2 linked regions of the Rhinolophus ferrumequinum genome follow. The protein of the gene in region 2 interacts with the protein of the main gene of each other region in a pairwise test. Links are inferred from orthologs where the notes say so. Each region holds a gene or a part of one and is shown on either strand. Other genes may lie near its edges. The genes, in order: RHOJ and PAK2.

Region 1 (3,918 bases), on a different chromosome or scaffold from region 2:
TAATAAATATGTACACAATTGAAATATAAAAAAATTTGACCCTAGTGGAATCTCGTAGTGCTTCAGCCTTTGATCTTTAATATGTATTTTTTTTTTAATAGGCTGACTTTATCTCTAAAGATGGTTTTATTCTCTTTATCCCTGACATTACATTGTAATTGGTTCACCCAATAGATAGGGTGAGACACGTAATTTTCAAAAGCACTTGAAACCTCTCCTTTTAGTAGATTTTAGGTTTCATATTTGATCTATTATAAATGTTTTTGAAATTAGGTACCAGCCAGGTTCCCTTTCCTGGAGGAAAGAGGGTGTAGAATAAATAAATTTTGCTAAGATCTTTACAGGTCAAGTAGCCTAGTAATTTTCTTAAGTCGCAGACACCCTAATGTTATAATTTGCTTTTTTTTTTTTTTTTTTTTTTTAAAGGTAAAAGTCTACCTGTTCTTCTCTTTATTCTGTTCTCATAAAAATTTTCTTCTCTGGGCACAGTCATTATATTTTCAGAACAGCTGAAGGGAGCCAACATTCAAATTTGCTCTTAATTTCTACAAATATAGAAAAACCTGCTGGGAAATGGATACTATGATTCTCTCCCTGTCTGCTATGTAATATTATCATAAATCATGTAAATGTAGGAGGAGGAGGGGACTTAGGTGATTGTTTAGCTCTGGAAAAGAAGCTACTTCCTGCAGAAAGAGGATTTCAAAAGGCCACATAACAAAGCCAGCACTCACACAGGTTTCCTGTGGGTCGTTTCCCTTTTGCTGAATCTCACCCGAAGCCAAGGTGACGGAAGAGACATTTTCCTCTTACAAAATCTCAAATCTCAGATAATTTATCGAGCTGATCACTATGTTCAAAAAGTTATAAAATCTAGGCTATTGTGAACTTCTGAAGAATTTTATGAACTTTTAAGAAGTTAATAAGATTTGTTTTGGAAATTAAGAGAAAAAGTAAGAGTCAAAATGGAAAAACTTAGATAAGCTATCACACTGATAAGCTATCACACTACAAACTTTAGAACACTGGAAAACTATATACCTGAAAGAATTAAGTTGTGACTATAGTATCTTAACTGCCATGATTTAAAACATTTTATCCCCAATTTTGTCCTTTTGGGACATACTTGAAAATGTTTCAAATTTGATTTTTAATCTTTATTTTTACTTTTAAAAACCTATAAAAATGTTTCTTTTCCTTCAAAATACAGATTGCCTAATAGATATTTAAAACCTTTTAATACTTCCCCCCCATGCATAACCCCAAGAAAATGAAAGTGCAGTAGTAATAGTACATCACCAATTAATATAGAAAAATGAAGGTTCTAATGTTTATTAATCTTAGCATTTTCATTTATGAATGGCCTGAAATGAATATAGGAAAAGTGGCACGAACTCTTGTTTCGCCTGTTATTGTGGTTAGTGGTGATTTTTTTTTTTTTTTGGTAAAAATTGTGGTATAATTACACTACATTTTAAAATGTTCACAATAAAAAGTTGATAAATATGAGGCAAATGGCCCCAAAACCCAGAGGACATTTCAGGGTATTTCCCCCATGTTATTCACTTGATTTAAGAAGGGAAAAGTGTTACAGTACAAATTGATGTACAAATTGTTCTAATAATTCCAGCAAAGCCCTTGGCTGTATGTTATGCTAAGCTACCTGGCTAGTTCTAGGCCCGTACCCAATAGTGACGTTAGACGCGAGCTAGGCCCCTGTGAAGTTGGGTGTCGCCCCCGTATCACTCACCCGGTCTGCAGGGGTAGGTTTTCCGCCTTTTCTTACCTGCATAGTGGTCAAACACGGTGGGCACATACTCCTCTGGGAAGGCATCATTGGCGTAGCTCATCAGCAGGCAGGTTTTCCCCACAGCACCGTCCCCCACCACCACACACTTCAACATCTTCTTCTCTTCTTCGGTGCCCCCGCAGCTGCAGCTGCTGTCATTTCCCTCCTTGCAGTTCATTCTTGCGGCTCCAGCTGTGGTGACTGAGCTGCTGCTGTTGCTTCTCCTGCTTCTCGCAAAGCCCATGGAGCAGCGGGCAGCCAGCGGCAGGCTTGAGATCACTTTGCCTTACTTTGGGTACCTGGGATCATACAAATTCGTCCTTGGCAGCTGGCATATGCCCTCTTGCTTATCATACTGGTAAGGAAAGTTAACACACACACTGACTTGGGAGAATTATTCAAAGGGACTGTCCCTTTTCCCTATCAGTTTGAGTTAAGAAACCCTCATTTTCACTGAATTCTAGGGATTTCCTGCCAATCTGGAAATTTCAACAGCTTGAGGGTTTCACTCTGCTCTCCCCCTTTCCAGCCTGGCTGAAGACACAGTGGAAGTTTGCTGAATCTTCCCCATTTTCCACTTCACATCTAACATGGAGGAAAGCTGGGCTTTTTAATGGAGTTTTCCCCTTGCTTCCTCCAGCTTGCCGAGTGTCAGGAAATCATGGGTTTCCTGCTGCATTCCATATTAGGATCAGTGGGCTGGGGAAGGCTGCAACAATGGGAGCTCTGTGTGTGTGTGTTTGTACTTCTGGGGAACGCTGCCAGAACATGGAGTGGGAAAACACTAGGGGTCCCAAAGCAGACTCAAGCTGTCAGGCTTCCTGTTTCGCGTCCGCTGCTGGGGGGGCTGTTTGCCTGTGGCTGGCTGGGAAGAGGCTGACGAAAGGATGGAAACTGGGGAGTACTGTCTGCCAGAGAAACGGGAATGGTTTAAGTGAGCAGAGCGAACCACACCAGCCGTTGTAGGATAACATATGACATCATCCCTCACTGAGTCACCAGTTAAAAGTTCTGCAAATTAAAAATGGACAGTTCTTCACATACTTAAATGAAAACCTTAAGCAATTCGTCCCTACAATAAAGAAGAAAACCAACACACAAGGGGATTTATAGATGATGTAATACAGAATTGTACACCTGAAATCTATGTAATTTTACTAACAATTGTCACCCCAATAAATTAAAAAAATATATAGTAATTTGTAATATGAATGATAAATCATGCAAATACAGTATTTTGCAAACTATCAAAAAAAGAAAAAAAGAAAACCTCCCAGAGTTACACTGTTTCAAAGGGGAACATTCTTGTAGATTGTAGGTATAATATGTGTGTTCAGGATTATACATTGCCACAGTTGAGCACAACACTCAAACAAACATGTGTTCCAGGCACAAACATTTTTATGGTTGTAGCACATAAGAAATCAGTCAGATGTGGGATATTTGCATCTTCTTATTAGTGAATAAACACACATGTGCTTGGCTCACCCTTACTCTTGGAAATGCGTGTGGGGGATGGCTTTATTAGTTTGTTTTAGGTCCCCAAATGCTGCTTTCACTTTGACGGTTCCCTTTTTGATTTAGTCCTATCCCCTTGGGTCAGCCTGGCCCTCTTCAATTACAAAGGAGCCACTGGCAGCTAATTTATTTGTCTGTTGGGTCACTCAGAATGAAGCCCCTTTGAAGCTCTGCATTTAATTAATGCACTTGGTCTTAGAAAAGAAGTGGAACTCTGCAAATGATTTTGACAATGGGTCAAGTCCCTTTTTGATGAAGGAGCTCTCTGTTTCTTTGAGATTTTTGAGCAGTGATTTTTAAGAATTCAGATTATCCAATTGATTTGAGGAGGGTTTTTAATTTTTTTTGGAGAGGGTGGGAGAGAAGTCTATTTTGATATGTGACTATTGATAATATACATGTATATATGTATACATATATGTGGCTATATATACATATATATGCTACTGTATAATAAATATAGGCCTAAATTTCTTCTGTTTTGAATTATAGTAACATTTACCACAGTGCTTAGTGTCCCAATATTTCTTTCCTAGAACGGGTTGATGTTTCAGTCAGGTTGTGGTATATCTACTAGGAGGTTATGTTGTTGTAACAACTCCCAAGGCTCA
Region 2 (3,918 bases):
TGAGTACTTTACCTGCATTATCTCATTTGCCCTACATAACCCTATGAAATTTGTTATTATATTATTATTATTATTCCCATTTTACAGATGAAAAAAATCAAGTCTTGAAAAAGAATGTGTATCTTGCCCAGGATCAAGCAGAAGAGCCAGGATTCCAACCCAGGTCTCCGGCTCCTAACCGCCTTAACCACCTGGGGTACGTGGGACAAGCATTAACTTACCTCGGAGATACTAGTAAGCTAGAATGCAAATCCCGTGTGAGTGTTCAGATTGACTACTCTTAATCAGGTTAGTGATCCTAAAATGAAGATGCAGTGTCACTCAATTCTGATCACAGAAGAAAACAATCAGTATTTCTTCATGGCAATAGGAGCTATTTTTTCCTTCTCTTTCTGCTTCTGCCAAGGTACAAGAAGGATAGGAGAGACAACTGAGATCTGTGAGTAACGTAACACCTTCCCTCTGATTAATCTGAAATCAATTAGCCCTCCAACTAACTGAAAGGGCTTTGGAAAATAAATTGATCAGAAACTTGAAGACTTAAAGCCTTAAATAAGGCCCACTTTCAAGTTTTCATCAAAAGTACAAAATATAGAATTCCAAAAGGAACATTGTATTTTAATATTAGAATAATCAATATTGACAGATTAAGCATAGGAAGGATTTAACAGTACCTACTTATTTTATCCTTAGCTATTTGAACAAGATCTCTTTTAAAAAAAGTATAATTGCAAGTTTATCCTTGGCTACCTGAACAAGTTCTAAGTTTTCTCTTTTAAAAAGTATAATTGAAAAGAAATATACACCACTGTTAACCACATCTTGGAAACGGGCCTATCGTAAGCATCAGAGAAACATAGGAACCCCTATTCATTTGTTTAGTAGATATACTCCAACTACAAACTTACTGTCGCTTTATGAATTTGAATTCACAAGGTTAGTATTCAATGTCACAAAGTCCAGAACAACTCTTTCTTTGAATAACTGGTAAGCAGGAATCAAGGCCCTAAGTGAAGCACAATACCCAGGAGCTCTTCCTTAGTAAAAGTATCGGCTTATGGAAAGAACTGGCAGAGAAGCTCTCATCACAGACCAAGTTTCACTCTAACATTACTATATCTTAACACCTTAGGCTAAGCAGACCTCCCATGAAGTTAAGGACAACTGACACTACCAAATGTTGACAGTATTGAAGCTCAGTACTAAGCAATTTTGGTAACAATGTACTATTTAGTGGAAACAAAAAATTCACTGAATTTAGGTTAACCTCTTTCACCAAAACCTGAAAGTGGGTTTAAGACCTCCATATATTACAGGTCAAAAACATTTTGAGGTTCACTTTTCACACCGTAAATCAGTGTTCTTGGCTAATTAATAGGTAGAAAGGTTTAAAAGCCGATGATGAAAGAACTGCCTTAAATCAATACCCTTAACAGAATATACACAAAGCTTTTCATTTATATGTATTTTTTCATATATATAAAATATATAGAAGTGACTACGAGTGTGTTTTACGAATGCCACAGAACTTCTGGCAAAGCTGACAAGTTCTAACCTGCTTTAAAAATTACTATTCACTGCCTTCATCTCAATCTTACTTCATTTAATGTTATTCTTTTGGATAACCCTACAAAAACAAAACCCCCAGAGCAAATTCTTGTATATTTCAATATCCTGCCTACTTATAAGAGCGGAAGAGTCAAACAGAGCAGGGGGAAAAACGTGACGTGCACAACCTTGATCCAAAACACAGCTTCTCGGAGTCTAATTTTAGGCCTAAGCATTTTAATTGTCTTTTTACACAGGTTAAAAAAGAAAACTATAGATCACTTGTGAAGTGGAACTGTGATAATTGTGTCAATGGGAGTTGACAATATTTATCAAGGAGGAAACAAATCACGCTCACACTGCCCAGAGTAACCCCATTAAAATTAAGATACAAGAATGGGCACAACCCCACACCAACTGACAATGGCAATTACTTTTCACACTTCAGTTACTGAATGACTTTATCTTTAAAGAATTGGCCAAAAGTTGAGCCCACGGAGGAATTTGTGGGAGCGTTTTGTATGTGTGTGCAGTTTTAAAGAAAGCCAAACATGGTTAAAAGTCAATTTTCACCTAAATTACCTAAAGAAGCAAATATTCACCTCCTGGCTGAAGATCAAATAAGAATCACGAGAAGATCCGAAAGTTCTGAAGTGGAGGCCCTCAAACCCCAGGAAAACTGTACGTTTTTACTAATGTGAAATATGGAAATTACAGATTATACTTTAGAAAGAGTAAAGAGCCTTAGACAATATGCTTGAGCAGTGAAACGGGATGAACAGAGGGGTAGAAAGGAGGAGCTGGGACTCAGTGAGAGAGGAAAAAATCGGGAAATAAAACTCAAGACGTCTGGTTGAAAATTAAAGTAAACGGAGAAAAAGGAGGAGGTTGAAACGCAACGGAAGGCAGACAGAGACAGGGCAGAATCCGTGGCGACACGGTTTAGGGCAGGGCTGGGTTCAGGAAGAGTGAGACCTCACCTGCCCAGCCAGCTTCCCATTTCGGGCTTAAAACGGAGAAAACAGCCCTAGGGAGCAGACAATGAGCCACCGCCCCAGAAGTCGCGGCTGCAGGCACGCAGGTGGCGGCTGCCCCGGCCCTGCGCGGGGCAGGTCGGCTGCTCCGGGCCGCTCGAGCCTGCCAGGCCGCGGAGAAGGAAGAAGGAAGGAGAGAGATGGCCCGCGTCCCGGCCTGTCTGCACACTTACCCCAGGCGAGGAAAGGTCCCCGCCCCAGCGAGGCGCCTCCGTCCGAGCTCCCGGCGGGGTCCGGAGCCGCCCTGGGCAAGCGCGCGGCTCGCGGCGGGAAGGAGACGGAAGGGGAAGGGGGACGAGAAGAGGAGCCGCGCTGTAGCGCAGCCGCTGCTACCGCTAGGCCGAGCGGCAGCCGAGCCCCGCAGGCGCCGGGAGGGGAGGGCAAGGAGCCTTCGGCAATGGCGACGGCCCCGGCCGGAGGGGAAGCGGAACAACCGCCGCCGCTGCGCGTGGCCACAACCCTGGGGGAGGGCGACGGCGGGGAGCAAGGAGGAGCGAGGCCACGGTACCACCCCTCCCCACCCGAAGCCTGGAGCTCCACGGGGCGGAGACGGGCACCGCTCTCCAATGGGCGGGACTCGCGTGGGGCCTGCTGGGAGTTGTAGTTTGGAGATGTGTACTGCCTCCCTCTCCCTCTCCCTCGTCTTCTAGCCTCCCCCTCCTCTTTTGGTCTTTACATTAAGAGCACGCCAGTCCTTCACTTAATTCAGCATTGTCTCCAGGTCTGTGCTAACCAAAGATGCTGACAGATATTACTGTTACATGAATCTGCTCCAGGACATTTGTTTCTGGGAACTCATCCATTATCCATTTTGCTTTTTACCTACAGACTTACTATTATTTTGCTGCTAAATTGAGCTCCACCTCCTTACAAATTGAAGTGTCCATGTTTTATCCTTGGAGGCGTTATCAATGTATTCACTAATTCTATGAATATTTGAGTGTCTACTATGTACCAAATACTGTTAAGGCATCAGGGATACAAGGGTGAACATGACTCACTTTGCCTTTGTGGAGCTTACAAATATGAAAACACAATAATTAAAATAATGATGTCTGGTATAAGGAAAAAACTGGGGAGGTTTCTTTGGATGGGGTGACCACAGAAGCCAAGGAGGTGACATTTAAGCCAAGAACAGAGCGAACTAAGAGAAGCACCCGGAAAAAGATTACAACCAGAAGGAGGAAGAAAAGGGCTTGCTAAGGTCAGTTAAGAAGGCCTTGTAGCTGGAGCTTAGGGCAAGGAGGACAGTGTAGAATGAAAACATTAGAGCAAACAAGACTCAGGTCAGGAAGGATCTTGAAGGCCATGGTAAGGAGTTTTAAGCAGGGAAATA

What was found.
Region 1: the proteins of PAK2 (region 2) and RHOJ interact in binary tests that used the Homo sapiens proteins (3 or more experiments, as listed by UniProt). The two-hybrid records come from large-scale screens. The link is inferred for Rhinolophus ferrumequinum from reciprocal best matches to the Homo sapiens genes PAK2 and RHOJ.

What each region holds. Positions count from the first base shown.
Region 1 is NC_046289.1:32,317,699-32,321,616, forward strand, and holds the start of RHOJ (rho-related GTP-binding protein RhoJ), read right to left. Parts: upstream 2,449-3,918; 5' UTR 2,034-2,448; coding exon 1,787-2,033; intron 1-1,786.
Region 2 is NC_046285.1:50,988,607-50,992,524, reverse strand, and holds the start of PAK2 (serine/threonine-protein kinase PAK 2), read right to left. Parts: upstream 3,008-3,918; 5' UTR 2,756-3,007; intron 399-2,755; 5' UTR 222-398; intron 1-221. UniProt on the Homo sapiens protein: Serine/threonine protein kinase that plays a role in a variety of different signaling pathways including cytoskeleton regulation, cell motility, cell cycle progression, apoptosis or proliferation.